2 linked regions of the Danio rerio genome follow. The protein of the gene in region 1 purifies or fractionates together with the protein of each later gene. This does not show direct contact. Links are inferred from orthologs where the notes say so. Each region holds a gene or a part of one and is shown in the gene's direction. Other genes may lie near its edges.

Evidence for each region.
Region 2: the proteins of acaa2 (region 1) and pgd fractionate together in Homo sapiens (co-fractionation; 3 studies listed by BioGRID). This does not show direct contact. The link is inferred for Danio rerio from reciprocal best matches to the Homo sapiens genes ACAA2 and PGD.

Annotation. Positions count from the first base shown.
Region 1 is NC_133183.1:3,745,283-3,762,379, reverse strand, and holds the start of acaa2 (3-ketoacyl-CoA thiolase, mitochondrial), read left to right. Parts: upstream 1-7,099; 5' UTR 7,100-7,958; intron 7,959-9,290; 5' UTR 9,291-10,356; coding exon 10,357-10,572; intron 10,573-12,852; exon of another isoform or gene 12,853-13,664; intron 13,665-14,192; exon of another isoform or gene 14,193-14,251; coding exon 14,252-14,368; intron 14,369-16,348; coding exon 16,349-16,496; intron 16,497-17,097. Other genes in the region: mrpl40 (large ribosomal subunit protein mL40), read right to left, coding at 1,982-2,059, 2,172-2,227. UniProt on the Homo sapiens protein: In the production of energy from fats, this is one of the enzymes that catalyzes the last step of the mitochondrial beta-oxidation pathway, an aerobic process breaking down fatty acids into acetyl-CoA.
Region 2 is NC_133198.1:32,326,091-32,343,238, reverse strand, and holds the start of pgd (6-phosphogluconate dehydrogenase, decarboxylating), read left to right. Parts: upstream 1-8,751; 5' UTR 8,752-8,770; coding exon 8,771-8,862; intron 8,863-9,173; coding exon 9,174-9,249; intron 9,250-9,329; coding exon 9,330-9,509; intron 9,510-9,585; coding exon 9,586-9,651; intron 9,652-9,733; coding exon 9,734-9,852; intron 9,853-10,332; coding exon 10,333-10,537; intron 10,538-10,732; coding exon 10,733-10,922; intron 10,923-16,158; coding exon 16,159-16,289; intron 16,290-16,484; coding exon 16,485-16,618; intron 16,619-17,148. Other genes in the region: kinesin-like protein KIF1B, read left to right, coding at 1-59, 1,053-1,245, 1,338-1,456, 4,140-4,182. UniProt on the Homo sapiens protein: Catalyzes the oxidative decarboxylation of 6-phosphogluconate to ribulose 5-phosphate and CO(2), with concomitant reduction of NADP to NADPH.

The DNA of each region.
Region 1 (17,097 bases):
GTATTTTTACAGCACTGTAAAACACAAGCCTGAGCATATGCATGGATATATATATACATAAATACACACACATACACATACACACACACTCACCGGCCACTTTATTAGGTACACCTCTCCAACTGCTTGTTAACACAAATTACTAATCAGCCAATCACAGGGCAGCATTTAAGCATGTATACATGGTCAAGACGATCTGCTACAGTTCTAAGCGAGCATCAGAATGGAGAAGAAAGGGGATTTAAGTGACTTTGAACATGACATGGTTGTCATTCAGAAACTGCTGATCTACTGGGATTTTCATGCACCACCATCTATAGGGTTGAATGAGAATGCTCCGACAAAGAGAAAATATCCAGTAAGCACAGTTTTGTGGGCACAAATGCCTTGTTGATGACGGAGGTCAGAGGAGAATGGCCAGACTGGTTCCAGCTGATAGAAAGGCAACAGTAACTCAAATAAGCACTCGTTACAACCGAGATCTGCAGAAGAGCATCTCTGAACACACAACACGTCCAACCTTGAGGCAGATGGGCTACAGCAGCAGAGGACCACACCGGGTGCCGCTCCTGTCAGCTAAGAACAGGAAACTGAGGCTACAATTCATACAGGCTCACCAAAACTGGACAATAGAAGATTGGAGAAATCGTGAATCATCTCAGACTGGTTTCTTGAACATGACGATGAGTTCACTGTACTCAAATGGCCTCCACAGTCACCAGAGCTCAATCCAATTGAGCAGCTTTGGGATGTGGTGGAGATTGGCATCATGGATGCACAGCCGACAAATCTGCAGCAACTGTGTGATGCTATCATGTCAATATGGAGCAAAATCTCTGAGGAATATTTTCAGTACCTTGTTGAATCTGTCACGAAGGATTAAGGCAGCTCTGAAGGCAAAATGGGGTCCAACCCTGTACTAGTAAAGTGTACCTAATGAAGTGGCCAGTGAGTGTATAGTCAAGTCAACTTTATTGTCAATCAAACCATGCAACAGTACATTACACAGCAGACTGAAATTGCGTTTCTCCCATACTCCAATGTGCAATTTAAAAAACAAAAATATGACACACACTAGACATAAACTAAACATTTAACTAATATAGTACAAGATGAATTAAATAATAGACACTAATAAACTGTGAACAGTTACCATATATCCTATTGTTCCAGAATATGACCAAGTTGAGGTATTTATTGTAGTGCAATTAGGTGCAGTATGGCAAAAGTGCAAAGTGCAAAGTAGCAGCTTAGAGGTAAGTGTATTTTGTAAACATGTTACACGTGCAAGGAATATTAATATAAAAACATTGAGTTTGCTTTTCTCACAGTTCCACAGATTTTTGTGTGTGTGGGCTGTTGATTGTGATTTTATAATCCAGTTTTCATGAGTGAGTTGAGCAGTCTGATAGCTTGAGGAAAAAAGCTATTAATGAGTCTGGTAGTCTTGGATCAAATATAAAATGTCTGGTATATATGTGGATCAAATATAAAATGTCCATTTTGATTCATTTATTTACACAGAAATTATATTAAATGCAGATAACGAGTCTAATGTTTCAACTAGTTTTGTTCAATTTTTCGTTCATTTATTTTAAAATAATTATGTCGCCTCACAGGAAGAAGGTTGCTGGTTTGAGCCCCGGCTGGGTCAGTTGGCATTTTTGTATGGAGTTTGCATGTTCTCCCCATGTTGTTGTGGGTTTCCTCCAGGTGCTCCAGTTTCCCCCACAGTCCAAATACATGCGCTACAGATTAATTGAATAAACTAAATTGGTCGTGGTGTATGTGTGGGTGTGAATGTGTATGGGTGTTTCCCAGTACTGAGTTGCACCTGGAAGGGCATCAGCTACTGTACGTAAAAACACATACTGCATAAGTTGGCGGGTCATTCCGCTGTGATGAATAATAAAGGGACTAAGCCGAAAAGACATTAAGTGAACTAATCATCATACATAACATAAGTTGTATCTTCACTGACCTTAATGGTGCGGAAGTTTTCAACGAAAGCATTGAGGTAAACCAGTGACTGTGTCTGACAGCAATAACAGGACTGCAACTGTAAAAAGAGTTATTAATTATTAGCATAACAATGATTATCATCCTCATGACCTCTGTGCGTTACTTTACAATTATCGCGTGCACATGGATATCTAAAGTCACATACGTACCACGAGGATTGACTCGAAATAATCCGGTTTACAGCACGACACACAAATCCCGCCATAATTTACAGAAATATCCACTTTACAAACATAAAATGTGAGAAATTAAATGTTTTGCTCCTTTCAGTGGCCAGTGTGGATCTGTAGGTCAGTGTAAAAACACTTCCGTTATCACAGACGCACTTTCGCGTTGTTGTTTTTTTCTTTATTAGCTAAAATCAGAATTTAAATATCTGTGTTAAATATCATAATTATTTCAAATAGGACGTATAATATATATTTTCGTTTAGAATATAAGGTTGTTATGGAATATTCATTTTTATGTGTGCGTCGAATGTTGTGAAGTGAATGTTAAGAGTAAGTAGGTGAAAGGTCGGTGTGTGTGTGCGTTTGTGTGTTTGAAGCTGCTCAAACGATCTCAAGCACAGTCGATATCATGTCTCTCCTCAGAGGTAAATAAACGTTATATATTTTACGATAAATTAATGTGTTATGTGTGTTAAAAATGCTCGAATGATTTGATTTGTACATGTTATCTGCTTTTGCACTTGTTTTCTGCACTGCACTTGAACTTCTTCATCTCCTCAATGTCACTAATATTCAGTTATTTTTCCTATTTTTATTACTAATGTTTTTATTTTATATACCACATCTAAAATAGTTGAAGGCTTAAAGTTGATTAAAGTTTGTGTTATTTAAGTGAATTCTTGTAGTTTTTTCCTCCTCGACTCTTCTTTATTAAATACAATTAGTTTGAATCGTCGTTATGAATCAAAACTGAATTAAATGTAATTAATTAAAGTTAAAAGAAGAGTTAGCTGTCGTGTAGGAAGCTCAAACATCAGATTAAACTATGACTTCTGGCAGAATTAGGTTAAAGGGGAGGTCAGTGACATAAACCCATGTTTACTCGACACTAAAAAATGTTGGGTTATTTATTTACCCCCAGTTGAGTTAAAAATATTTGGTGCTTTGTTTGGTTATTTTGAACCTTTATGGTTATTTATTAGTAACTCAACAAGTTTGGTTAAATGTTTGGTGCTTTGTTTGGTTATTTTTAGCCTTTGATGTGTTATTTATTTAATATTTAAATATAATATAATATAACATAACATAACACAGATCAGTTGTGTTGTGTTATTTATTTAATAACACAACCAGTTGGGTAAAAACCTTTACATTTTAACAGTCAACTGATTTAACTGACACAGATCAGTTGTATTAATGTTCGTACGTAATGTTGTGTTTGCGTTATAAAGTTTATTTTAGACCTAACGCAATAACATTTTTTTTTTAGCAAATTACCTAAATTAGTGTTGTGTTTATTATTACCGTTTCACCTGCACCCTTAATTTAATGATACAAACGCACGCTTCATAGCTGATTCACATATGGATAAAAGCACTTTCTCTACCTCCGTGTTCATTTCTAAAGTTTTTTTTTTTTGGGGGTGGTGGGGGTGGGTATATTATACACATATTTGAGATATTCCTTGGTTAAGCCACATTTTGGCAAATTAACCCAACAGATTTGTTAATTTTGTAACCCAAATTGTTGGGCTAACGTTACCAACTCAAAGGATTAGGTTAAAATAACCCAACAGAAGGTCGGTGCCAAAACAACCCATCATTGGGTTACCTGTTGGGTTAATATTAACCCAAATGTTATATGTGAGTAGTAAAGTTTACTCTATGTCGTCTGTCTGTCTGTCTATCTACCTGCCTGTCTGTCTAACTATCTGTCTAATATAAAGAGTTCAAACGCAAGAGTGCCATTTGAAATATTTTTCTAAAATGAGCATTTTACTCAGGATCCTGTTTGTGTTCAGGTATTTCACTTCAAAGGCAATGCAAATAACATTATTTGGCATTAAAGTGGATTTACTGAATATACAGGAGCTTGAAAAAAAATGTGCACTTTAGGAAAACATTTCAGACGACGTTTAGAGGGTTTTGCACCTAAACTCTTCATATATCCATTTACGAGTGTGTATCTATATGTATATGTGCAATTCCATGCAAATGTCGACCTTGCCATGAAAAGAAAAAATGTTTTCACCAAAATAGCTAAACCATTTCTACATTTTTTTTTTTGCATAGGCAAGTGTTATACAGTACTTTAAAAAAATACTTAAAATGTCTCTGTCAATGTTTTCAAACTATTATATTTGATTTACCAAAGTCACAAAAATGGCAATTTCACATTCGTCACATCCATAACGAAAAAGTGTCACATCCATAACAAAGCTTTTCCCGCAAAAATGAAAAATAAAATCAATCATTTTTGTTCTATAAAAACCAACTCTTATCTTTTGTATGAACATTATTTATTTTGGGTTGTGCAGTTTAATTCACAGAATTTCTACAAAATATGCTTTATTCTGTAAACAGGCACACTGTTTTTGTCACATCCATAACGCATGTTTATTTTCCTCATTTAAAGTAGAGAAAATGTTCACAGATTGAAATTTTTTGATCCCATACCTCCGTGGTTAGTTGTTTTGGAAAATAAAAGCAGATGTTTCAATATAATTTTAAAGGGCACCTATAGTGTAAAATCTACTTTTCAAGCTGTTTGGACAGACATGTGTGTAGGTATAGTGTATAGACAGTCATATTTGGGTGATATAAAAACACCCAGTCCTTTTTTTTTTTTTCAATTTAACAACATAAAAACGGTGGACCAATTGGAGCGTGTTTTAGACCGACCACAACTTGACGTAGGAGCGTGGTCCCCCCGCCCACCAATATTGATTGACAGCTTCGCGTAGCATGTCCCGGTAGTAACGTGTATAATAATGTCAACAAGACCAGACGTGCGCAAAGCAACCGGGAATAAAAGCTCTGTTCTGTTCGCTAGGATCAGCAATCATCATCAAATGTGATCACGAGTGAGTTTCACATGTTTAAAATGTTTTAAAACAGAGCATGTGTGTAATGAAGTACAGCAATTTACTTCAGCTTTACTTCATCAGCACAGCCGCGTGTCAGAACAATTATAAAGGGAGACGCGTCAATCCTGGTTTGTGGACCTTAAAACAGGTTTATTTTGTACATTAACATAACAGATATCCACACAGCAGTGGAGATTAGCCTGTATCCTGACACATTTGCGTGCAAAAATAGTGCAAAAGCTAAGCACGCTCTGTCTGTCTTTTGAATTTTTGCTGCAAATGTCACGTCCATAACGCTGGAATCAGCCATATCTATCTATATCTAACTTATTTATAATGCTTACATTTCTGTACTTTTTATAACAGTCTTGATTTTCTGTAAACAACAGGAATCAAATCAGATTAGGCAAGGCATGTTTATTTCTATAGCACATTTCATACACGGTGGAAAATCAAAGTGCTTTACATAAACTGGAATAAAAGTATAAGAAAAAAAAACAAATAATAAAAGGTATTAAAAACAGATTAAAATATGTTAAAACCAGTTTTATAATATATAATAGTGCGATCTGTCGGTCATAGCACAGTGCTCAATTCAGTAAAGGCAGAGCTAAACATGTGTTTTCAGTCTGGATTTAAATGTACCTGATGTTGGTTAAGTAAAGATCAGGGTTTATGTCGGTGTAAAAGTTATTCATTCATTTCTTAAGCTTTCATGATGATATTGACTATAAACTGCAAAAAGAATACTTTAACAGTTATAATAAGTAAGTAACAATAACATTGTGTGTGCAGAATTGCTTTATTATATATATAAATGTAACTAAAGGATTATAAAGTACAATAGGTAACACTTTATAGCAAGATTTTATTATTAAATGTCAGTCAATGTGTAGAACTCAGTGAGAAATAAACATTTATTAACACAAACTACTATGGTAGTTAAAAAATATATATTAAAATTATTAATTTGAAAATACAATTGAATTTATTAGTTATTAACTCTCAATTTAATAAAACAATTACAACCATTAATTTGAAGAAGTTCTTTGGCATGAGCTAAGAAAATAACATCTTCTAAGATTAATAAATGCTTTTGTAGTGGTTTTCATTAGGTGTCTATTGAAATGAATTAATATTAACATTAAAAATTTTACTTTTTATGTCTACACAACAGGAAAAACCAGCAACAGTCATGATTGCATGTTTATATGCTGTCATGCCTTTGCAATTATTAAATGTGATTATTAAGGAATTCAAAGGGTCAAAAACAGCCACCAACATAATGAAAGTGTAGTAAATTTGGCCAGAGTGAATTGTTTCAAAACATTTTCTCAAAATATATGTCAAAACAAGATTTGACACCAAAAATCATTATTTCTGCTGAAACAGAGAATGTTGTGACCAAATTAAGCCTAAAAATCACCCCAGAGTGGATGAAAACATCACCGAAAACACACAAGGGTTAAATTAAACAGTTTATTAATTGCCTTCCGGCTGCAACCCAGTACTGGGAAGCATCAATGCACATTAATTCCCTCACACTCATACACAACGGCCAATTTAATTTATCCAATTCCCCTATAGCGCATGTGTTTGGACTGTGGGGAACCGGAGCACCTGGAGGAAAACCACACCAACATGGGGAGAGCATGCAAACTCCACACAGAAATGCCAACAAATTTTGAAATGCCTGTGATCATAACATCATGGATGTTCGTTATCATGATGTTACATCACAACTGTATGTGTTTTCTTTAGGTGTGTTTATAGTCTCGGCGAAGAGGACGCCGTTCGGCACGTATGGAGGCGTTCTGAAGGACCACAGTGCTACAGATCTGGCTGAACACGCTGCAAAAGCAGCTCTCGCTGCGGGGAATGTGGCTCCAGAACTAGTCAACAGTGTCATTATCGGAAATGTCATGCAGGTGAGAGATTGTGATGTGCTTTAATTATAAAACATGACACTACAGTGCATGCAGAATCATTGTCAGTTTTGAGAAGCCAGACTACTTTGCTGTTTTGGCATGTTCTCTTTCAGGGTGCTTTCACATCTGTAGTTCGCTTCATTTGGTCTGGACCAATGATACATTGTTGCATCTTCTGCCGTCTTTGGGTCGTTTTCACACCACACTGCTGGCTTTGGTCCGAACCAGTTGAAACGAACCCAAATGCAGTCATCTGACAAAATCCACATCTCTCATTGGCCAGATGTTGCTGAACATATTTCCTAAACTGCTTATTGATTGGTCAGAATTCATGTGCGGGAAAATGCCAATGAACTCCCACAGGTAAACAAAACCGGCAGACACAAAATGTTGCTTTTACTCTGGAGGGACGACTGCGCTGACTGATTGTATGCCTGCTTTAGACAAACTATACATTACGAAAATGAAGCGCGGCCGCGGTTGGAAACAGTGGCGTAGCGGACAGGCCCGCAGGATTAGGGGGCTCCACGTCGTCGCGATTTTCAATAATTGAAAATCCGGCAACCGTAATAATCAAACTCTCGGGAACAACTGTGGTCGGAACCAAAGTTCACAGGTCTGTGTTCTCTGAACACCTCTCAAGCGGTGGACTACTTCATTCTGATTGCTTGCCGCCAATGTTGCCAACTTTTTGTCACTAGATTTAGTGACTTTTCAGACCCCCTAGCGACAAATCTAGCGACTTTTTTGTGTGTTATTGGAGATTTTTTTTTAGACTGTCATTTGTCCATACTGTACCGTCCCTACTCTTCTCAACGAGCTGCGTGTGATGCCGCCGGCCCCTCCCCCGCCTCACAGCACTGACAGGCGGCCCAGTCAGTTCTCGTACAGCAGCCTCTCCCACCTGCAGCCCGAATGCAGATCACGCCTCTGCGTACCGACGACAAATGATTTAGCACAGGCAGTGTGAAGGTATTTCCCTTATACAGTCAAACCGATCTGCTTCTCCTTTATTTTAACAATTTAATTGGACCGTTTATTCTTTTCTTGTTCACAATCACAGATATTTTAGTGACAGTTTCTGAACTTGTCTGAATTTATTACATATGAGAGATTACTGCACATTCACTAACGTTACACATCTATAATGATATACTGTATTTAAACAGCAATAAATTTAGTTAAATAAACATGCTTATATAAAGTGTAGTGCAATTATAAATACCCCTTTATTAACCATAGGCTGTTAAACACAAATGGTAGAACGTGATGACGTCAGTGATATGCAAATTGACGTATGACGTCAGCCTTCCCTGCTGGGGTGCCTCCGCATTTTGCGCTACGCCACTGGTTGGAAAACAATGTTTTAATGCATCACTCGTCACTTCATGAGGCGTGAATTAATTTAGCGAAACTGCGACATGCTCATCTTGCGGAAATATTAACAACGATCCATCAGGTAATGTTTTGCCCTCTCTCTCTCTCTCTCTGTTGGCGCATCGGCCTACGGCAGCTGGATTAGTCCAAAAGGCGCAGTACTTTTTGCTGTTGGACCTGTTTTAGTACGGATCATATTCTCACCACAAATGAACCGCTCCAGGGTTCGTTTGAAAGCGTACCAAGATCACCTCTTTAAGCAGGTCTCGGTACGCTTATTTGGTCCGCTTTTGGTGCGTACTCGAGTACGATTGCTGCATTCTCACCTGCCCAAACCAACCGCACCAAAAAGGAAAACGAACTCTAGTGCGATTCAATCAAACTAAATAAGGCAGGTGTGAAAGCACCCTCAGACTAGAAGTTCAATTCATATCTTTAAATTTTGACTTTAACTTTGAATGCTTGATTCTGATTGGCTAATGAGCATTATAGACCCGTTTCACTATGACGTCACTTCACCCTATCAGCAGCGCAGTGTATTTTTAGTTCCGGTTTATAGTTTTATTCCAATCAGTATTCTGATTAAATACACTGAGTTCAATTCATGTTTATTTCTAAAGCACTTTTACAATGTAGATCGTGTCAAAGCACCTTAACATAGAAGTTCTAGTAAATTGAAACTGTGTGAGTCCAGTTTTCAGAGTTGAAGTTCAGTTCAGTGTGGTTTAATATTCAATACTGAGAGTCCAAACACTGAAGAGCAAATCCATCGATGCGCAGCTCTACAAGTCCAAACTCAGGCAAGCCAGTGGCGACAGTGGAGGAACAAACTTCGCCTGTTGACCAAAGTGACGGAAAAAAAACCTCGACAGAACCCAGGCTTAATTGTGCACGACCATTTCTCCTCTGGCCAAACTTCGTGTGCAGAGCTGCAGTCTAAGCGCTGGAGGCTGGAGAATGCTGGACATCCATCATGGAGAAGCTGCAGGTGTGAGTAGGTCACCAGCGGGTGATCAGGCTGGCCCACAGGATCAATACGAAGACTTGTCTCTTACTGTGGTCTTTCAGGAACCAGTCTCACACTCCTTCATGACTGCCACAGCATCAGCTCAGGATACGGCCTGGTCCAGGATTATGGATACCTTGGTGTCATTTCTTTACAGGTCTTGAATCACATCAGTGGCGCTGCATAATCTCTAGAGGCCTCAGGATGAGTATTCTCAGGTGGAAATAGAGAAATCATAATGTAATTAGCGTAGCTGCTATTTATAGTGTATTTAAACATGAGAAGTGCTATAAATGTAAATAGCAGTTATACAAACAAACATGTAAAGCATATGAGTGTTTCTAACAAAATGTCTGGTGCATTAAGACAGGAAAAGTGTGTCCTACAGGTGGTTGTCAAGCCAGCTCACCTGCGTGGAGCACATTCATGCATCATGTGATGCATTGAGTGAATGCTATACTAAAAAGATGAACTGGGAGAGTGTGTCTGAGCCTGGGACATTATCAGGAAGGCTATTCCAGAGTTTAGGAGCCATAAATGAGAAGGCTCGACCTCCTTTACTCGACTTTGCCCTGAGTTTTGAGATCTTAAAGAGCGAGTTGAAAGTTTGAAAACAGATTTATTGTGATTGATATTCTGATTATATTAGCTGAACTTTACAGTTTATTCTGATTAATATTCTAAATAAATACACTAAACGTTATAGTTTTATTCCTGTTTGTATTGCACTGAAAAAAATACTTGTTCAAGTGGTAAAATCTAAAAGATTTACTGTCGTAATTTTTAAACTGTAAAAGTAAATGTCAAGGATAACTAGCTTATAAGTGTCTTTGGTGTTTATATTTGAGAGAGAGACTTGTTAGAGTTTCTTTATTAGTTTGAATATTAAGAGAGTTTTGATTAATGTTTTTTTTTTAGCTTTGAGGTTATCACCTTGCAGAAGAGTAGCACTCATGCTTTTTTTATTATCGTTCATTATTATGTTTGATGCTTCAGTCATCCAGTAGGTTGGTGAAAAAAAGAGCTCCAGCCCAAATCCTAATACTGCACATATGTTCTCTTATTGTTATCCAGAGTTCAGCAGACGCCCCCTACATCGCCCGTCATGTGGGTCTGCGGTGTGGTGTGCCCATCCCAGTGCCAGCGCTGACTGTAAACCGCCTCTGCGGGTCCGGATTCCAGTCCATAATCAATGGAGCACAGGTACAACTAGGGGTGTCAAAATTAATTGTTTCTTTGGTGCACCGCGATGCAGATGCGGACAATTCGGTATCGGTTCAGTAGCGGGAACAGGCCCGGCGTGTAGAAAACGGGGCTGTTGGGCAGTGGGACAACAAATGCTGAATATAAGCTGGAGCGGTCGGGTTTGGACTAAATCCTGGCGGGAGCGGGATTCAAAATTTAGTCCAGCGCAGGTCTCAAGTCTCTAATAAAGTATAATGCCGTTTATTAAGGGGTGGGAATCTTTAAGGACTTCACAATCTAATTCTGGGAGTCACGATTCATTAAATAAATGTCTTCCAGTTTCTTCAGCTGTGCAAACTTTACATTTTAACCAGACTTACAGTTTCGATGCTTTTGTTTATGATTAAAATCTCCGTATGACAGTGAAAGATTTTCATTCATTTATAAGTTTTCTTTAGGCTAAGTCTCTTGTTTATTAGGGGTCGCCACAGCGGATTGAACCGCCAACATATGTTTTTATATTTACACAGCGGATGCCCTTCCATCCATAACCCTGTGCTGGGAAACACCCATACACACTTATTCACACATAAACTCATTTACTACGGCCAATATTGTTGCCCAATTCAACTATAGCACATGTGTTTGGACTATGGCGGACACCGGAGCACCCAGAGGAAACCCACACAGGGAGAACATGCAAAATACACATAGAAAGGCCAACTGGTCTGGCCAGGACTCGAACCAGAGACTTGAGACCTGCGCGAGACTAAATTTTGAATCCCGCTCCCGCCAGGTTTTAGTCCGAACCCGACCGCTCCTGCTTATATTCAACTATTGTTGTCCCACTGCCCGACAGCCCCGTTTTCTACACACCGGGCCTGGTCCCGCTAATGAGCGGGGGGAGAACAAAACCGAAAACCACCCAGCTATACAGAGTCCAGACAGCCTATAACACGCTGTCACATACACACACACATACATAGACAGCACAAAGCTCTCTCTCTCATTCGCACACACATACACTCACACGTAGACAGTAGGCTTGGGCGGTATTACGGTATTATGGTATACCGCAGGATCTAAAAATAGCAACGGTGTCAGTTTCAATACCGTTATACCGTCATAAAATATTAAATATCCTTTATTTAATGCCTACAAAAACGTATGTGTGGTTGTCATCACGGGACAGTGTGGTGGAGAGAAAGAGAGAGAGAGAGGGGGAGAGGGAGAGGTGAGGTGTTGAGTCGCGCTCCAAAATGAGTGACCTGCAGTTTGGCAGTATTTTCGGTATCGACTGAAAGATAAGGGAGACGTGGTAAATATGAATGAACTAGACTAGAGGTCTGCATTAGAACTGACGATCTTTCCCCGAACCCGGCGAGACCCGAGAAATCCAAATCCCTGCATTAAAATCCATCCCTGCAAATGTAAAAGAAATGATGACGGAGAAGTAAAAAAACGCAAATTTTGACGGCGGTCAAGTCAGTCACTAGCTCAGAAGGAACAGTCATTCAAGCCGTCAAGGTATTTCGGCTGTCGCTCATACACGTATTACGGTAGAGCGCAAAACCGCAAGCTGACAGGTAAAAAGACGAGGCCATTCGCTACACTGAAACTGCTGTCATGGAAAATTAAATGGTTGCTCCTGCCTGGTAGAAGATGAACAAACAATCCTACCCAAAACTTGCAAAATCAGCCAGATCAGAACTCTGCATCTCGGCCTGTAGCCGCAGGAAAGGGTGTTCAGTTCTGCTGGACGCAGCATGAACGCAGGACTGCGCTAAAGCCAGTGTATTTAATAATGTTCCTCCACAAACACACGTAGCCTAATCTTGGTGAGTAAAGGGTTTTTAAATTATAAATAAATATTAATGAAACCATATAATCATAATGTAGACAGAGTATACAGGCTAATGGTGGCATTATTATTTTAATATTCAGCTTCACAGTCGCCTTAATGCCAGATTGTGAAGAGAAGTGTTGAAACAAATCTCGCACAGCCTTTATCTTAATTTCATCATTGCCAAAATACCCGTCATCATTTAGAGTTTATTTTAATTTAATTCAAACCTGGTCGCATACAAGGTATTCAGTTTCTGAATGATTTAGGCACAAGCTAACAGTTTGGTGACGCTGTCTGAGCCTTACGTCATATTTTTTTTAATTACGCCGGTAATACCGGATACCGGAGGAGGAGGTTTGACGGTATCAAAATTTGGATACCACCCAAGCCTAGTAGACAGCAACAAACAAGCTAAACACAGCATCATGCTCTCTCATTCACACACATACAAGTGTGTGCTCGCTCACTCGGGAGTCGGGAGCGATATTGTTAGATCTCCGTATGACAGTGAATGATTTTCATTCATTTATAAGTATTCTTTAGTTTAAGTCTCTTATTTATTAGGGGTCGCCACAGCGGATTGAACCGCCCACTAACACACCGCAAGAAATCTGGTCTGGTCCCGCGGAGACTTCTACCAGAGACCTTCTCGCTGTGAGGCCACAGTGTTAACCACTGAGCCACCGTGCCCTGCCCAGTGAAAGATTTCTTTAATGAAAAAGTTATATACAGCATGAGCAAGCTCTGAATGTAATGTTGAAATTCCAGATTATAAGGAGCAATTTTTAAAGAACAAACACTGCTTATTCCCAATAAAACTTTGTTTATGATGTTTCATAAAGGTCAGTGTAAACTTTTATTATACAATGAATTTTAAGTTATCAAAAGACTCAAAAAACAACGTTCGCTTAGTTATTGTTCCCTTATGCCGAGTTCAGACTGCATGATTTTTGACTCGCCCACAGGTTTTGAGAAATCGCCAACAAATGCCTGAAATCACAGGCAAATCGGTGCTCGTGCATGTGAGTGACAATCACACAGTATGAACTGTCAAAGACACGATCTGAGAGAATCGCTGATGAGTCGCCGATGCCTGCGAGATATTTGGCGTGCTGAATATCTGGAGCTGTCGGCGATTCAAATCATGCCGTGTGAATTGAGTTTTGACTGAAAATAACATTGTGTACAGCCAATGAGAGAGCAGCGTTCACTTGTGTGTGTGTGTGTGTGTGTACCTGCTGGCCAGCGGGAGAATGGGGGAGAGGTTAAAAGCGTTCATATTAAGTTTATTTGGATCCAAGAAATGGAGGAAAAACTAGTGGAGGATTGACAAAAGCACCCGTGTGTGTTTGACGTGTCATACAGAAAGTTAAAAAAGAAAGTTAGGGAGAGATTGCTAATGCCCTTTAAACCCAGGTGAGCAAATAAGTACATTTTCTACCCCATTAAAGGCTTCTTTCTCATTATGTAGTTAATAACAAAAGTTATACGACGTTTTTTTGGCTGTGAGACGTAGTTTGGACGAAGTAGTCGGCGATTCTTCCTGTTGTAAAGTCATGCAATGTGAAAGTCCCTGCTGCCGATTCATCTTGCAGTGTAAACAAAGCAGCGACAAAACGCCAGCCCAGATAGTCAAGCAGTGTGAAAACATCTGTGACACGACTACTTTGAAAACCACGCAGTCTGAACTCGGCATTACTTATAAATGCTTATGCTACTTGTGAAATATTCAGAAGGAGAAGAGGAATTTAGAGATGTAATTGCTTGTGGGATAAATGATCATTTTAACCAGATTATTGATATGAGTTTCTGGTGTGTGTGTGTGTGTGTGTTGTGTGTGTTGTGCTGCAGGAGATCTGCCTGAAAGAGTCTGAGGTGGTGCTGTGTGGAGGATCAGAGAGCATGAGCCAAGCTCCTTACGCTGTCAGAAACATCCGCTTTGGCACTAAATTTGGAGTCGATTTGAAAGTAAGTCTAATTGAGTCTCTCAATCTAATTCTGAGGGTCGTATGATGTTGTTCAGTAGCATCCAAAATAGAAGTTTATTTTGACATAATATATGTGTATAGTTATCATGTGTTTATAAATACACACTTGTATGCATATATTTGAGAAAATTTTATTTATTCATTCATCCAGCCCCAACCCAGTGCTGGGAAACCCCCATACACACACACACACTCATACACTAAGCCAGTTTAGTTAATCAATTCCTCTATAGCGCATGTGTTTAGACTGTGGGGGAAACCGGAACACCCGGAGGGATCTCACGTCAACACGGGGAGAACATGCAAACTCCATACAGAAACACCAACTGACCCAGCCGGCACTCAAACCAGCGACCTTCTTGCATTGAAACGACAGTGCTAACCACTGAGCCACAGTGTCACCCACCTTTATTTATTTTTAGATATGAAATATATGTGTATATGATACAAATTATAATATCTATGTAACACAATTGTTTTATTTAACATAATAAATACAATATATGTCTGTGTATTATATATGTGTCGAAATAACCTTATTTTGCATGCGATAGATATATACATATGGTATAAAAAAATCTGTATCTATCTATTTATCTATATCTATCTATCTATATATATATATATATATATATATATATATATATATATATATATATATATATATATATATATATATATATATATATATATATATATAAAATATTTATAAAAAATATATATAATTTTATAATATTAAAAATATATATAATATTATAATATTTATATAATATTATATATTTATAAAAAAATATATAATATTATAATATTTATAAATATAATATTATATATATATATATATATATATATATCATATTTATAAATATTATTATATAATATTTCATTATTATATCATTATATAATACATATCATATTTATAAATATTATTATAAATATTATTATCATATTTATAAATATTATATATCATACATTTTATAAATATTATATATATATATATAATATTTATAAAAAAAATAAAAATAAAATACTAATACTACTAATACTTCCCTTCTTAGACTTTACAGACCTGAAACTTGTCTATAGCACTTATTCATTGTTGCTCTTGGTTGTGTAAATTGCTTCCTTGTCCTCATTTGTATCATTTGGATAAAAGCGTCTGCTAAATGACTAAATGTAAAATGTAAATATATATATATATATATATATATATATATATATATATATATATATATATATATATATATATATATATATATATATATATATATATATATATATATAGAGATAAATAGATAGATACAGATTTTTTTATTTATATATATATATATATATATATATATATATATATATATATATATATATATTAGTACAATAATTAAGTTAATTTTAAGCTATCTCGCGGCCCACCTGCAGGAAAGCTGAGGCCCACTAGAGGGCCAAGGCCCACTGGTTGAGAATCCCTGCTCTAAATAGTATGAAATAGTTTGCTCTAATCTGCATCTTAAATACTAATATTACCAATTAAATAATAGATAATAAAACTATACAATTGACCACCCCTATAATGGATTATACCATTGTGAATGCATAATTGCGTCAATTAATCTAAGCCGATTGACATGGCAAGTGTTTACAAAACACTTTTCTTGTAAAATAAGTGTTACATAGAGCCTAAAAGTAAAGTAAAATTAGATGCATTGTTTGTATAGATTGACCTACAGTAACCTCTAAAAATGGCTAATCACAGGATATTGTATACGTCAGAATACACAAACTATCCGACAAAACGCTGAGAAATTAAATATTCATTGATAAAATGTCATTTAGTTTAATTCACTGAAGCATGTATTGCACACAAGAATATTACAGAAAAAGTTGACCCCCCTGATCGTCAATGTATAATTCGCACCCTGTTTATCATCCCATACTCAATATCAATTGTTGTGTGTGTGTGAATCAGCTGGAAGACACGCTGTGGGCCGGACTGACGGATCTGAACATAAAGCTGCCCATGGGCATCACAGCAGAAAACCTGGCAGAGAAATACCAGATCAGCCGTGAGGAGTGTGACCAGTACTCGCATCAGACGCAGCAGCGCTGGAAAGCAGGTCAGCGCAAGATATACACCACATATCCTGGATAATTCTGCATTAATATAACTAGCACTTCCGTTTAGGTCATAACTCATGCTATTAACTACCTGCCCAATGTTAAAGTCCCAGTGAAATTACAATAAAGTTTTTTAGATGTTAGTTTCAGTCTGTTAAGGATATCTATAATCTAGTGTGATCCAAAATAGTGACAATTTACATTAAGTAAATATAAAACTGATATAAAATCCAAAGCTTGTCACTTCCGCCTATATGCATCATTGTTTTTGTTTTTTTTACATCACCTCATGCTATAGTTTCTCATCCAATTTTCTGACCAATCAAATGCTCTCTTTTGTCTGACATGCCCCGCCCCTTTTTCATTTGCTTTTCATTTAATTCGCTTGAGCTTAACCACTCTCACTGGCAGAGCTGTGAGAAAACCAAATGCTATTGGCTGTTTATTAAAAAAGGGAGGAGCTACTCAGTCGCACCCTCTCTTCATGTTTCAGTTTAGATTACGTCAGACATAAACAAAAAGTCCACATTTCAAAGCACTTCGTGGAACCTTTAAAATAAATTAAATGTTGAAAAAGTAAATGGAGAACTCTTTGTGGTG
Region 2 (17,148 bases), on another chromosome or scaffold:
CGCGCCGGCAAACACGAGTTCCTCAACCTTGTGCCTAACATAGAGGAAATGAGGCCTGGGTGAGGGTTTGGATATTTTTGGATTTAGTATTGTGTTTAAGGCAAGACACTGCAGGTGTTTTGTAAAAACAAAAGAACTAGTTGTCGACAGTCTTCCCTAGATTAATAGTTTACATATCGGTGATTTCTTGCAAGTTTTTTACAATTTTATATGTAATATGCAAATGAGGCATTCATTTGCATACATTACTTGCACAGATGTCAGAATTTTTGTTTTTCAGAATTTTTTTCTCACATTAGACTTCCAAGGTTTTTACAGTATTACTTATTACCTCTCCATAATTCAGAAAACACTGCCAAACATTTTTTTCACAATGTTTAGTTGAATACATTTTTTTATAATCAGCAAAAATATATATTTACAATTGTATTATTATTATTATTATTATTATTATTATTATTATTATTATATACATTTGAATGCAGCTGTATTAAACTACATTTATGTATGTGTGTGTATATATATATATATATATATATATATATATATATATATATATATATATATATAGACCATTTTTATGTTGTGATGTCATTGGCCCATGAACATTTCCTGCTTGTCCACAAACTCCAACAAAAGGCAATGCAATCATAACGTAATGTTACAACAGCTGCCATAAAATTATTAATCAATATTTGGACCTTTTGGGATTCTCGGAAGCTATGTAAATTAAAAATGTAACGCATGAAATATGTTAGGACCATTATCATTATTTACATCCCTCAAAATGGTTTATATAAAAATATATGTATAGTAATGGAAATCTACAGACACACATTGGTAGTGTGCTAAAGGAAACATTTAAAAGTTTTTTTTACATTTTCTTTTATTTCCAATCAACCGAAAAAAAACACTCTATGACATGCCAAAAAGCCTAAAATCTCAAAACTGACAAGATAAGTGTTTTGCCTGCAGTGTCTAATTAAGACTAGTGGAGTTAAACTGTAGCTAAACACGTTAAAAATGTTGTGAACTGACCATTTCTGCTGCAGGTCTGTGGTGTCCAAGAAGGGCATCTTGAATTTCATGGAGCCCCGCTCGAACACCTGGGTGAAGCACTTTGTGGTGGTGCGTCGGCCGTATGTGTTCATCTACAACAATGACAAGGACCCTGTGGAGAGAGGAGTGCTGAACTTATCCACTGCACAGGTGGAGTACAGTGAAGACCAGCAGGCCATGCTCAAGGTAAAGCCTTACTCGCTGTCTGGAAATCAACTACATTATTACCATACATGTCAGCTGAATGTCTGATTGTGCTTGTTTTACATGCTTTGCAGACGCCTCATACATTTGCCATGTGCACCAAACACAGAGGAATCCTGCTTCAGGCCAACAATGACAAAGACATGAACGACTGGCTGTATGCCTTTAACCCACTGCTAGCAGGAACAATAAGGTATATGCGCCAACTTTGCTGTTATTTTACTCTCAGTTAATCCAGCCTTGATTACATTTTTCTGGTTATTTCTACATTTCTTTTAGTTATAATTTTTTTTATCATCATTATTTATACACCAAAATGTATACATCACAACATCAATGAGTTAAACAAATGGTTAAATAAAGATCAGGACACACCAAGTCTTTTAAATACACATTTAGTCCAAGAATGATTATATTAATTGGAAAAATAAGAAGATCAAATTTAGTTCTGAGAAAAAATTCTGTCATTGACTAAGTTTACACGCAACTTCTCACATTGTTAAAATATGTATACAAATTATACATGACTTTTGTACAGGCGATCATATTAAACTGTATTGTACGCAAGTTTTAATCACAGTAAGTAGGTATATAAAAACTTTAAGTACCGATCTAAATGACTAATATTGCTTAGATGAAAGTATCAGAAACACATGATGTCTTCTTCCTAAAGTTGGAACAATTTGACCAGTTTAATAAAACGTGGGACCCATTTAGAAATATGTCCAAGAACATGTTTTCTTGTCAGATTTAGACTGTGTCTTTGTTCCAGCAAATGTATTTTAGTTTAGTGTGTGATACAGGTTGCACAATTTTAGTTGTTGCTAAGCAACATTATTATTTACCTTTTTTTTGTTTGATTTCTGTAGTCTCCCACCGCATTTGCTATTGAAACATACAACAACATGGCAGCGTCAGCGAGCAGGGAAGAACTTGGAGAAATATTGCACTCTTTGAAGTGGAAAAAAAAAAACAAGGACGCACAAACACACCCGCCAAATAAACTGCATAATTCAGGGCTCTAAGTCACGCATTCCCTGTTAGACACACACATTTGAAACTGCGGGCCACACCATGTATTTCTCACAGTAAGAAGTAATAGATAAAACATTTAATGGAGAAGTTGCGCATATGAAAGGAACAGTTGGATGCTGAAATCCAATGTTGCTGTTTTTGGATAAAGTACATGATCTAGAACAGGGGTGGCCAACCCTGTTCCTGGAGAGCCGCATTCCTGCAGATTTCATTTGCTACCCATATCAAACACACCTGAACCAATTAATTAGGACCTGAACACCACGTGATAATTACAGGCAGGTGTGTTTAATAAGGGTTGCAACTGAAATCTGCAGGAAGGCGGCTCTCCAGGAACAGGGTTGGCCACCCCTGATCTAGAAAGACCAGAAAACGATCAGTACTTTTCAATATCAACACTGACAAACTCGCTCAATGCACTAGACTGATTTACCAGATGCAGTGACTCAACACAAATTAAAGCAATACAATACAGGCCACTGGCCTAATAGAAGTACTTTATATGAACTAATGTAACACAAAATAAACATGATAATACCTCTGAATTGCATGTTTTTTTTTAAATAAACAAATAATATAAATAATCTTGAAAAAAGGTCCCCTTTTAACTATCATACTGTAATTGTTCAGTGTAATTGTATAAAACGGTTTAATTTAAATGATCATTATTATATATGTCTTGGTTACAACTGTAAATAGATCTTGTTACATTTAATCTTTAAATAACAGCATTTTTCTTGAGCATTGTTATATCCTATAATTAATTAGAATTATGAAGAATATATATTTTGGTTAAACTCCAAGCTTTTTTTCCTGGGAGGGGATCAATTAAAATTGTAAATTGGTGATTGTTTTAAAAAGGCCATATCGCCCAGCCTTATTATGTACTTTATTTTATTTCATTATCCATGTTTTATTTCATTATGTGTTCAGTATGTCCTTATGTTGATATTGTTTATACAATTTTAGCAGGGTTTAATGCTAAGGATTTTTTCTACTTGCCCGATCAGACCAGTGGTTCAGATTTTTACTTGCCCTGCCAATATTTTCAATAACAGTTACTAGTTATTTCTTAGCCGCAAAAAAAATGTGTCAAAATGTTTGTAAATCTAGAATTTAAATATATATATTTTTTAATTTAATAAATGTATAATGAGCAAAATTCAAAGTGTTTTGCAAACAAAAGTAGCAAAATGTGCAGGCATTTTATTGCACAACAAAAGATGGCTGACCTGCCAAACTGACGGCAAACTACAAAACATCACTTCATTTTTTTAGTTGTGGTGTACCCTCGTAAATGTCTGCTTCCATGACATTAGAAACAAATGTTTTCCTTTAGCATCCTCACTTGATGTTGCTGCCATGTTGCTGTCACTTCGCTGTACTGGTTGTTACGGAATAAATAACGTGCTCACAACATCCAATCAGATAAGAGGAACTGAGAAGGTAGCATTTGAAGACTTAAAAACACAAACTGTTTCTCGATTCTCACTGTTTTTGCACACAATTGACAAATAGTCACAGGCAAATTAAACTTTAGTGACAGGGCATCAGTGGCCCGATTGGGCCAGTAACAATATTGTCTACTGTGCCGAGCATCTCACACGCTGTCCCCGGGCCATCAGGCAGTCCTTATTGCTCTGTTTAGTATAATTAATTTTGTCCTTTTCCTGTAATTTGCCATAAAATCCATACCTAAAAAAAAAACAAAGGAAAAAAAAACCCAAAAAATGTTTACCTCCTTGACTAAAGTCCATCAGCAGTCACATTCACTTCTTTGTAAATGTTTTTTGTTGATGTTGTTGTGCGCTGTCCTTCTGACTCTCTATGTTCTCCTGCAGGTCGAAGCTTGCAAGGAGACGGTCTGGTGTGATGAAGAACTGAGTGATCACACACACACACACATGCAGAGATAGTGCTCTTTTTCTCTCTGTCTACCTTTACAGCGTACCAAGTGTGTTAACACTTCTAAATCTTTGTGCTTCTTGACGGTTTCTCTTGTATGTAGACCTGTGGCTCTGTTCTCCTCTCCAGCAAATGAACTTTCAGTTCCTCTTCTCCTCCTCCTCCTCCCTCTCTATTGTGTTATTATTGATCGGATTTATTCTGTCTTCAGTTTTCGTTCTTTGTCATAACTGAACCTCCTTCGAGTTGCATGTTGTAATAGTCTGTTTGTGTGTGCACGAATCTTCAGAGCAGGTTCTGCTTCTCTTCAGTTCATTTTTACAGTGTTGTCTGCCAGGAACATCTTACCCACAACCCTCAGGAGAAAGTCAGTTTGCTATAAACCCCTATGGCATTAAGGTTGAAGAAAATAAATAAGAATAGTATAATAATATATCAAATATTCCACATTTAAAGGTTTAAAAAAATCAACTTTCTCTCACAAATAGCGTTGCTCCAAATAGCGCAGAAAAAAATTGAATTTTCAGATGGACCAAAGCACTTCTTCGAGATGCTTAATTTTCTAAAAGAGGCTGAAATTGACTATTAAACTGAATGTTCTCGCAGTATTGGATTTGCTAAATCAAAGCTAGCAATGATAGTGGGTATGTTGACCGTGTACATACAGCCCATTGGCCCAGCCTGATGCAGTGTATTTGCTTGACATAAATTCCACATATGAAGGACGTAAAACACGCCATTTAGCAAAGTGCAGTATCTAATCATGATGTACATGAAGGAAAGATGACCATGAGCTCTCATATCACTCTTTCAGTAGCCTACAGGAATATTCTGCTCGATTTCCTCAGTAGATTAGCTTAAGAAAATAAAATGGTGCAAAAGAATTACCTTAGACACACAGAACAACTGACCGAATGAATCCCATTTGTACATAACCTTCAGGATTACTGCGCTTATCGCTCTTCATGAGTTTCTGTCCTTACTGTATTACTGGAATGCCATTTTTGGCGGGCTGTTCGTCTCATCTGAAGTGAGATGCTGATTTGATTGGTTACGGTTACGCAGATATTCACATTTGCAGAGGAATTTCCGATCAGCAGGATCATTAAACCAGCCTTTTTGAAGAAGAGTAGGACTTTTAAATATGAGTGCGCATTTACCACATATCTCTTAACTTATTTTTATTAACAAGCGATCAGTGTTTTACATTATACAAACGAAGACAAGAAGGGCACTTTTTCCTCATTTATAGTCTTATTTATTTACTCGGACCACTAAAAGCGTTTCATCACTGTCAGTGGATGTAAACTGGGCCACTTGTGCAGTTCACTGCGGCGCAGTGAGGGAAAAGGGATGGTATGTTGTCTAATTTTAATAGTTGACTAGATGAAAAAACCTTTAAATGCTGTCTGAAATTGTCCTTTAAAATAAGCATTTTTTCAGGCTCCTGTGTGTGTTCAGTAATATCACGTTTATGGCAAAGAATAAGTCCGTTTCCTGGTCTTTAAAGGACATCACAAACAAAGGAAGCTGGAAAAATGTTGATTTTCGATGGAAATTTCAGACGGCACTTAGAGGCTGAAGAACTCTTCAGTGTTTCTTTTGAAGATCTTTACCTTGTATGTTTGAACACATGCAGTTTAGATGTAAGTGCTGAAGTTAGCAGTGATCCAGTTTGATTTTCGGCAAACAACATTCCTCTGGCCAGACAACCAGCAGGAACTGATGACTGCTACAGAAGTGCTGATCACTGATATGAAGTCAATAAGCTCGCTTTAGTGCATTTTCACAGGAAACGCATGAAAACGACTCTGAATCTCTGAAAGTCCTCGGGTCAGCCAGCCTGCAGGCCTCATCGGAGCTGTTGGATTGTTAAGAAATCTGTGAAAATGTTCTGATTTGGCACATAAGGAGCATGGAGAGTTAATGAAGGTTAGCGTTTATCTAATTTTATGAGTTAATGTTACTTTTTTGGCCAGAGCAAAGGTTTTCTGATATATTTTTAACAATCTTTGTTGAGTGGCTTCACTGACTAATGTGACATTCATAATGAATTTCCATTAACTGTATTTATTGTTTTGCAATGTATATATTAGTTTGCAGCTCTTTGCACATAATATGCGTTTATACAAACTAACAACAGAACAAATAAAGCTTGAATTATGTTTTTTGTTTTCTGGAATGGAAACCAAATGGAGTGTGGTGTTTATGGAAATGGACTTTGAATGTATTTTGAGTTCCACTAAATGCATGAATTATCTGATGAGATATGACAAATATAGGGACTGACATGTTGCTGTGCTTCTTATTTCTTGAAATAGGAAATGGATGATGTTACATGGGCACTTTTTCCACATTTAGTCTAGAGTTGCGATGAGGCTTGTGCGTTTTAATTTCTAACATCAGGGAATATGTTTTCTAAAAATATAGCATTGTTTTACTGGCACGGTCATTTCTCTCTTTCTTTTTTTCCGCTCACTCATGCATTTTTTTCTCCCATGCTGCCTTTGAAGCAACCCTGGCATTACTGTATCACCTCACGTTTCCAGATGAACATCGTTCCCTCTCATTGTGATGAAACGACAGAAACAGTTTAGCTGTGGCATTAACACTGTACATTATTTGTCAGATTGGCTTCATTTTCATACTTATTTTGTAAATATTTCATGTTGTATGGAACTTGGATTAAAATGTAAATATGTCTCCTGTATTTGTAATAATTATAATCCATTCGCTGTATAGCCTAGACGTGTAATGCATATATCTTAATTCTGTGTATGGTAATCTTGCACCATTGACCTGTTTAGTGAATGAGGTAAAAAAATAAAATTACAACCAGTGCATTAGACAGAGGGCAGATCTCTTTTTGTGTCGTTCTTTCTCCTTACTCGACACTTGCGTTATGTTTATGATGCATTATATAATGTTAGTGTTTAAAGGTTTAATTGGTGACTTTGCCTATTTATTATTTTTTTTTTACTTTTCTAAATTGATATTGCTAGTAACTGTCAGATTTTTTTTATTTATGTATATGGAAATACTGGACAGTTAATTAGGTACACCTTACTAGACCCCCTTTTGCCTGCAGAACTGCCTTAATCCTCTGTGGCATCGATTCAACCATATTGACATGATGGCATCACATAGTTGCTGCAGATCTGTTTGCTGCACATCCATAATGCTAATCTCCCGTTTTACCACATCACAAAGATACTGTATTGGATTGAGATTTGGTGACTGTGGAGGCCATTTCAGCACAGTAAACTCATTGTCCTGTTCAAGAAACCAGCCTGAGATTATTCGTGCTTTATGACATGGTGCATTATCCTTCTGGAAGTAGCCATCAGAAGATGGGTACACTGTGGTCATAAAGGGATGGATATGGTCAGCAACAATACTCAGGCTGTGGCGTTGACAGGATGCTCAATCTTGTGCCAAGAATATATCCCCCACATCATTACACCACCACCACCAGCCAGAACCGTTGATACAAGTCAGGATGGATCCATGCTTTCATATTGCTGATTCCTAATTTTGACCCTATCATCCAAATGTCGCTGCTGCTATAGCCTATCCGCCTCAACAAGGTTCAATGTGTTGCGCATTCAGAGATGCTCTTCTGTATAATTGGTTCTAACAAATGGTTATTTGAATTACTGTTGCCTTTCTATAAACTGGAACCACTCTGGCCATTCTCCTCTGACCTCCTGTGCCCACAGATCTGCCGCTCACTGGACATTTTCTCTTTTCTGGACCATTCTCTGTAAACCCGAGAGATGGTTGCGCGTGAAAATCCCACTAGATCAGCAGTTTCTGAAATACCCAGTCCAGCCCGTCTGACACAAACAAACATGCTATATGCTATGTTCAAAGTTACTTAAATCCCCATTCTTCCTCATTCTGGTGCTCACTATGAAGTGCAGCAGATCGTCTTGACCATGTCTACATGCCTAAATGCGTTGAGTGGCTGACGTGATTGGCTGATCAGAAATTTGCGTCGAGCAGTTGGACAGGTGTACCTAATAAAGTGGCCGGTGAGTGTAAATAAATGAAACATCATATTTGGGTGTTTATATCTAATTAAATGTGTTTGTAGTGAAAGATATGACCTTCAGACCTTACTAAAGTACAACTAGCCTAATATTAAAATTGTACTCAACCCATAACTTACCTAATAAATCTAATCGACTGTCGTTATCTATTCATGTAGTAATCCGTTTAATAATTAATTATTTTGATGAAACTTAATATATGTTACACATTATCACAGTGAAGCAATCCTTCTTTCAAAAGCAAACCAATGTCCCAATTCACCTCATGGAAAGTCTAATTCCTCGTTTACTATGCTGCCAAACACTCCTCTCGTACAGACAGCTACTGTCAAAGCACAGTGGGCGGGGCACATACGGGGGGTGGAACAGGAGCTTACAGCAAATGACCGGACTCCAATCTCTGCTCAGAGAGCCTCCGCCTATCACAGCCGGAGATAGGGATGACGCCACGAGCACACTCATCCGTCAGGCGTGTTCATTGGGAGCTGGTGCAGTGCTGCTCCACAAGGCCGTGAATGAGGAAGTTCAGCAGAGACCGAATAACAGCAGTCAAAACCCTCATCGAAACTCTCATTTTTGAACGGAACCAAACTTCAACAATGGCTCAGTAAGTATGAATTTTGCGTCTGAGATGCTGAGTAGTGAAATGTCCAACTTCTTTATCACCTTTGACTTTGTATATTCAACTTAAATGCAATGTAATCTGCTTATTGCACGTAATCAGCATTGACTGTCTCTATTCTGAACTGTCTACTTAATATCTAGCACCTTTTCTCTATGCTCGGACACAGATTTAATGTTGAAGTCTCTTTAAAGTCACCCAGCCAGACTGACGTTTGACCTACTCATGATTTCTTGTAATTTGCACTCTGTAATTAAATATAATCAGTGTTCATTCTGTTAATAATGTCTCCACAGAGCAGATATTGCTCTCATTGGTCTAGCTGTGATGGGTCAGAATCTGATCCTGAACATGAATGACCATGGATTTGTGGTAAGTCACATCAGTGCATTTGCATTTCTCCATGATTTTAACATGTTTAAGATGTTATAACAGTTGTCATTTTTATTTAGGTCTGTGCATTCAACAGAACCGTCTCCAAAGTCCATGACTTCTTAAACAATGAAGCCAAAGGCACTAAGGTGATCGGGGCCGAATCCCTTAAAGACATGGTGTCAAAACTCAAAAAACCTTGCCGCATCATCCTGCTGGTCAAGGCAGGACAGGCTGTTGATGACTTCATCGATAAACTGGTAAATATCACCATGAAATGATAGTCCTAGTTTGTTGTGAGTGACTCAGAAGTTGTCTATATGCTTTATGTTGTAGGTTCCTCTTCTTGAGCCTGGAGACATCATCATTGATGGTGGAAATTCAGAGTACAGAGATACAACGGTGAGTTTGGCCATCTAAAATGAGACCTAAAACAGTTTTCATCATCATGTCGAATCTCAATATTACTGGTCTTCACATATAGAGACGTTGTAAGAGCCTGAAGGAGAAGAATCTTCTGTTTGTGGGTAGTGGAGTAAGTGGAGGAGAAGATGGGGCACGTTACGGACCCTCGCTGATGCCCGGAGGACATAAAGATGCCTGGTGAGGATAAGTGTGTATTAAATGGGGAAAAAAAAAAAAAAAAAAAAATATATATATATATATATATATATATAAATATAAATATGGACTATCTGGACTACCAAGTTTGGCATAATTTATTTGTTTTTGTCAGTAATCTTCTGAAATATTATTTAAACTAAAAATAGTTTAAATTTAATTAATAATGTAATTTTATGCCTGTGACTCAAGGCTGAATTTTAAGCATCGTTACTCGCGACACAATTCAGAAATTATTTGAATATTCAGATTTTGTACTCAAGTAGTACAATCACTACTCCAAACAACTGCACTTTTAATATTTAAATCAGTCTTATGTGGGATTCATTTCATAAATATATAGTTAAAAAAACATCATGTAATTTAAAACGGCTAAAACTTTTTAATACTTTTAAATTAATTGATTATTAAGTGTATTTATGCGTGCACTGCTTGACAGTTTATTTGATTTTGTTTCTTCAGGCCACACTTAAAAGACATTTTTCAGAGCATTGCTGCCAAAGTGGGCACCGGAGAGCCGTGCTGCGACTGGGTTGGAGATGAAGGAGCGGGTCATTTTGTTAAAATGGTCCACAACGGTATTGAATACGGGGACATGCAGCTGATCTGTGAGGCCTATCATCTGATGAAGGACGTGCTTTGTATGAACCATGATGAAATGGCTCAGGTCAGACATCCACTTCCTTCTTCAATTACTGTTCTATTTTTTTTACAAGAACAGTCCATGATGTTGTAAGCCTTGGTTTCCTCCTTCCTCCTTTCTTCTGTATTTTGAAATATACCTCACTCTTTGCTTTCTAATGTGCCGTTTTGGTCTGCTTCCTCTTGAGAGTGAATTCCAGTGTTTTTGTTTTCCTATCAGGTCTTCGAACAGTGGAATAAGACAGAGCTGGACTCCTTCCTCATCGAGATCACAGCCAACATCCTAAAATTCAAGGACGCAGACGGCACTAACCTGCTGCCCAAAATTAGAGACAGCGCCGGGCAGAAGGGCACAGGGAAATGGACGGCTATCTCTGCTCTGGAATACGGCACACCTGTCACACTGATCGGTAAGATAGAGAGTCTTGCGTAATTTCCCAGGTGTGGGTGTGTTTCTGTTATTTAGATAGAGGGTGAGAGTCAGTTGGCCTTATAATAACACCCTGAATGAAGCGCCTCTATAATCAGCTTTACCGTCCACCTCTTCAGCTAATGTTGGCATAGGTGGGATTTTCTGTTCTGTCTTGTGTTGTGGCTTTTGGTGCAGGATTCAACTTCAGGGATGGGCTAATGTGAGACAATTTCTAACTAGGCATGAGCTGGTATAAGATTCTGACGGTATGATAACCTTAAATTAAATAAATATATCCCCATTTCATGCTCTAAAGACTGTTCTTTTTACATGTCTGGGTAAAAAATTACTTTTTTCCCCCCATTGAACACAATATATTTAATTGTAAGAGACGTTTAAAATATTTTAGAACAGAAGCTTCTGATGTTCAGGGTCCTTTTCTGCTGGAAAAGGAAACGAAATGAAATACAATATAAAAAACACGTAAAAAGAATTTCTACCACTGCTCATATGTTCTGGTTTTATCCCAAGCTAGAATAGTTTAGGAAAGGGATTTTTGAAACATACGAACAGATATATAGCATTCCAATTGACCCAGATCCATTGATGGGCATTTTTGGTGTCGTGTCTGGGAATATAGATCTTAGTAAAGATATACATTTGATTATTGCATTCACTACACTGTAAGACGTTTAATATTATTCAAGTGGAAAAGAGTAGACCCTCCAACACACACTTTCTAGATAAATGAAGTGATGTCTTCTATTCAATTGGAAGATTAAATGCATGATTCGAGGCTTTAAATGCAAGTTCATAGACAATGGTCCCCCTTTATAAACTACTCTGAAGAACTCCCTGGCCTTTAAAAAAAAAATTCTTTATAATGACTTCTTTATTTATGTTTTCTATGTTATTTTTATTTTGTACTTTTTGAATGTCACCCAGCCCTGTATGTCAAATGATAACATATTGACTAAAAAAATATGACCTAATGTATTCCCTCACTGTTAACATTGATAAATCTGGCAGATTTTGTGATTCAAGAGGATATGACCTGGGTTGTTTTGTATTAAGATGCACCTCTTTTGTATATTCCTTCTGTTAGATGTTGCCAAGCCTCTTATGTGAAATGATAACATATGAACTGTACAAATATAGTACACTCTGTTTTCTCACTGTCAACTCAAAGTCAGGAACGATATACATTTTATTTTTATGTTGTTTTTCTTTCAATGCCATGGTTGTGGTAGGGTAGGGATAATGTGGTGTTTTAAATGGTAAATGCAAAAACTCAAATAAAAAAACAGCTTTCATATACTGTAGGAATGATATAACCAAACATTTTAGCAGTTTTAAAGGGCACACAGGTTACCCCTTTTTATATATTTATTATAAGTCTTTTGTGTCCCCAGTGTCTTTTGTGTCTGTAAAGTTTCAGCTCAAAACACCCATCAGAGTATTTATTATAGCTGTTTGAAATGTCTGTATTATAGCTGGGAAAAGCTTGTTGATGTTTTTTTTTTTTGCACTGGGCCTTTAAGGCGAGACATCCCTGCCCACCGTTCCCACTTGCCTGTCAGCAACATGCCTTAATCGTCGCCCACGGCTGCCTCACGAAGCAGATCTCATGTAACGTTTGTGAGAAATACTGCAGTAAGAACTTTACCAATTAGTATTTGATGCATTTATTGTGGAGTTGCAACAATGAGTTCACCCAAACACATAGCACAGACACACACACACATAGCGCACACACATAGCACAGTTACACACACACATACATAGCGTAGACAGTCAGACACACAGACATACAGAGAATGACCGTGAGAGAGACACAAGGCTGTGCTGATGAAGTTAATCTGAAGTGAATGGCTGTACTTCATTACACACGTGCACACGTTTTAAAACATGTTAAACTTGTACAACTCACTCTTGATCACGTCTGATGATGATGGATGATCCTAGCAAACTGAACAGATCTTTTATTCCCGGTTGCTTTGCGCTCATCCTGTCTTGTCGATATGAGTATTTGCGTTACTACGGAGACATGTTAATGCGCGCAGCTGTCAATCAGTATTGGTGGGCGGGGGGACTGCACTCCTACGTAAAGTTGCAGTCGATCTGAAAACCACTCCAATTGGTCCACCGTTTTTATGTTGTTAAATTAAAAAAAAAAAAAAAAAAGGACTGGGTGTGTTTATTTCACCCCAATATGACAGTATATACACTACTTACACACATGTATGTCCAAACAGCTAAAAAAGTAGATTTTTCACCTTAGGTGCCTTTTAAAACCTTGATTTTCCCCAAAATAAGGTAAACCTTGAAAGCAGGCATTATCCCTTGCCTATTTCTAATCAATGATGTGTTGCCACTGAAAAATGTGAAATCTTTTCATATTTTCAGACTTGGGCATTTGGTTTTAGGTTGTGTACATTTTTGTTGAAAGGTCTCAGAATAATGCTATTTAACAATGTAATTGTGGTAGTGTAGATGAGACATTTGTGTGAATGATTTGTGACCATCTCTTCATATTTATTATCTATTTTATAACATTTTTGGTGCATATTAAAGGGAATAACACTTTAAAATAGGTAATTTTGGCAGAGAATTTTGTGCATCATTTTTCAGTTTGCAGGCGCAGCTTGTAAAACAGTAAAAAATTAAATAAATAAAGTGAAAATTGCAGAATTTAATTAGAAAAATTATTTTGGTCATATGTTAAAAAACATTTTTAAAATCCATTATGAATAAAGAAACGCTGGCCTGGACCAATAGATGAAAAATATTGTGATTTGAGTTTTGTGATTAGATTAAGTTTTTTTGTAAACTTTTATAAAAATATGTTCCCTCAAGATTGAGCAATACATGTCAGCAATGATGCATTTGTTTTGAATAAAGCAGTATTTAAACTGTAATGTGAAAAGTGCTATACAAATAAACTTGATCTGACTTGACTTGTTTTAAGATTATTGACTGCTTTTTGTATATTAGAATAAAATAAAAATAACATTTAAGGACATTTGCTCTCTTAAAAATAAAAATGATTAAAGATTAGATTTATAAATCAGAAACATTGGCCAGGGCACAAAAAAAAAAAAAAAAAAAACATATTCAGTTTTTTTTTTTTTAATTTGTGGTGAATTAAGGTTTTGAAAACTTAGCAGTGTTTTTTTTTTAGTTTTTTTTTTTTTTTTTTTAACAATTGGTCACAATCAAAAACCAGTTGTGCTACAGTTCTCAATGTGATGCATGCTTTTATAAAGCAGTTTTTACAATCTATGCTTTGTTAAATATGCAATCTAAATAAACTTGACCTGGCTTGACATGTATTTGTCAGATCAGGACATGGGCTTGTTTAGTGTCAGTAAAATAGTTGTTTGTGCAGCGCTGAAGCGTGAGAGAACAGATGTGATTTGTGTGGTTCTAGAGGAGGCTTTCCGTCTTTCAAAAGGCTGCATTCCAGTGCTGAGTTCACCATGACTGGCTGCTTTACGCTAGATATTTGTTCCCTTCCTCCTCTCCTCTTCCCTCACTTGTTGGCCTTGGGTTGGGTGATAATATAATACCAAGTCATGCTGAGTTCAGGTTTTTGTGTTTGTGAATGTGGTAAGCTACTGTTCTCACAAATGTCTGGTCGGTTACACTGCTGAGAGTTACATTAGCAGTGTCAACAGTACCAGATATAAAGTGAATCATACTTTGACTTGTTGAAGCACCGTGGATAATGGCCTATAATAGTTAAACTGTTTTATTAAAGACAGAAGTGAAGATGACGAAGTATTGTCTTTACAAGTGTTGTTTTTCATATTACAATACTTGATTGATTTGATGGGAAGAAAAATTCTTTGTCATAATGCAAAACAGTTAAAGTAAACATTTTTTTGTTGACTTTTAAAAATGCAGAGATACTAAACTAGATACTAAAGTGTGCTTTTATATAGATATATGACTACATAATAATAATAATAATAATAATTATTATTATTATTATTATTATAACTATTTTACTACTATGGAATTATAATTGTATATTGATATTAATAAAGCTAATATAATTATGCATTGTTTTACTTTATTAATAACTGTTGTAAAAAATAATTGTTGTTGTTATTAATACTGCTTTAATACTTCATGCTGTTCTTCATATTGTAATTCATGAAGATAACATAATTATCTATTTGTTGTACTTTTTTAATGACTGTTGTAAATAATTTGTTGTTATTATTAATAATAATAATGGCACATTCTTTTTCATGTTATCAATAATAATAATGCTTTAATACTTCATGCTTATTATTATTATTAGTAGTAGTAGTAGTAGTAGTAGTAGTAGTAGTAGTATTAATGAAGATAATATAATTATGCATTGTTGTGCTCTATTAGTAGTTGTTGTAAATCATCTGTAGTTTTTGTTATTATTATTATTATTATTATTATTATTATTATTATTATTAAAATAATTATATATTTTTCATGTTAATTATAATAATAGAAATAATAATGCTTTAATAATTCACACAGTTTATTTTTTTCCACTTTATTGTCCCCAATGGGGAAATATGTCTTGGACTTTAGGCCCACAATTTCATACACTGAACAGAAAGAGACATCTAAAAACACAAATCAACACAAACAATTCAATCATTAACAAGTATGACAGATTTAAAAGTCTAATTGGTGTAGGTAGAAAAAGATTTCCTTAAATTTCCTTTTATATCTGCACACAGATATAATTTAAATTTTTAATAGCTTAGTCCTGAACTGATTGCTCCTTTTTCCCTATGATTGTCATGGCTTCACTAGCGCTCCAAGCTGAGCTTCAGATTGAACTGTAATGTTTTCATACCACACAGTAAATCTTTAGCGTATGATGCATTCAATCACTGCATTGTAAGATAAAAGACATTATTTTTACTTATTTGCTTTTGTTATTTCTTCTTCTTATTCTTATTAATATTCTTAATATTCTTATTTTGATAAATTTATTGTTGGACACAGTAGCAAAAGGAGAATCTAGGATAATTTAGCAGTCATCCAAAGTATTTTTGCTTGTGTTCTATTGAATAGATTTTTTATTTTTGTTAAATTGAGGTGGGTTTTTTGCGGGGAAAAATTGAACATTTCCTTACGATTCTAATCTCTGAGATGGTCTAATGGTGATTCTAATCTCATTATGCATGCAGAGCTTCGGTCTGTGTAACTGGAGATGATTGTTTGTGTGTGTGTCACAGGGGAAGCTGTCTTTGCCAGATGCCTCTCGTCTCTGAAGGATGAAAGAGTTCAGGCCAGTAAGAGCCTCAGCGGCCCTCAGGGTGTCAAGTTCACTGGAAACAAAGCACAGTTCCTTGAAGACATTAGAAAGGTGGGGTCAAATTAAATGTAGATAATTATAACATGCATAATGTGTTTGTATTTTAATTTGATTGTACATTTGTTAATGTTAAACGCTATACATATTATAAAAATAATAATACCAATAACAATAATGGTTGTATTAAAGGTTTACTGGAGGGTTGTTTTTACTCTATGAATATAATTAGTTTTATTTCTATTTCAGGCCTTGTATGCCTCTAAGATCATTTCGTATGCTCAAGGCTTCATGCTGCTGCGTCAGGCTGCGCTGGAGTTCGGCTGGTCTCTGAATTATGGTGCTATTGCTCTGATGTGGAGAGGAGGCTGCATCATCCGCAGGTAAATCCATCATTTATTTAAACAAAAACATTCCAAAAGATATACAGTCAAAGTCAGATTTAACGTCAGATTTATTAGCATTCCTGTTCAGTTTTCTTTAAAATCCCGAGTGCTGTTTAACAGAGAAAATGCTTTTCTCAACTGATTTCTAAACATCATAGTTTAAACAACTAATTTCTTTTGTCTTTGCCATGATGAAAATAATTAGTATTTAATTACACTTTTAAATAACTGCACACTAGGAGTCATTTATTAAGCATTAGCAAATAGTTAATTCATTGTTTTATTAAGAATTAATGTTACGTACAGTAGTAATGTACATAATGTTAATAGACATAGTACATAATGTTAATAGATATTAGTAGGCTGTTTATAAATGCAGCTACAAATGTAGTGTTCTTGAATTATAAGCACTTTTATGTACTTAATGTTGGTATTTTCATACTTTAATGATCGTTATATAATGAGTGTTACCCATAATATTTTAGTAGATATTATGCATGATGGTGGTTCACTCCACTGTGGCGACC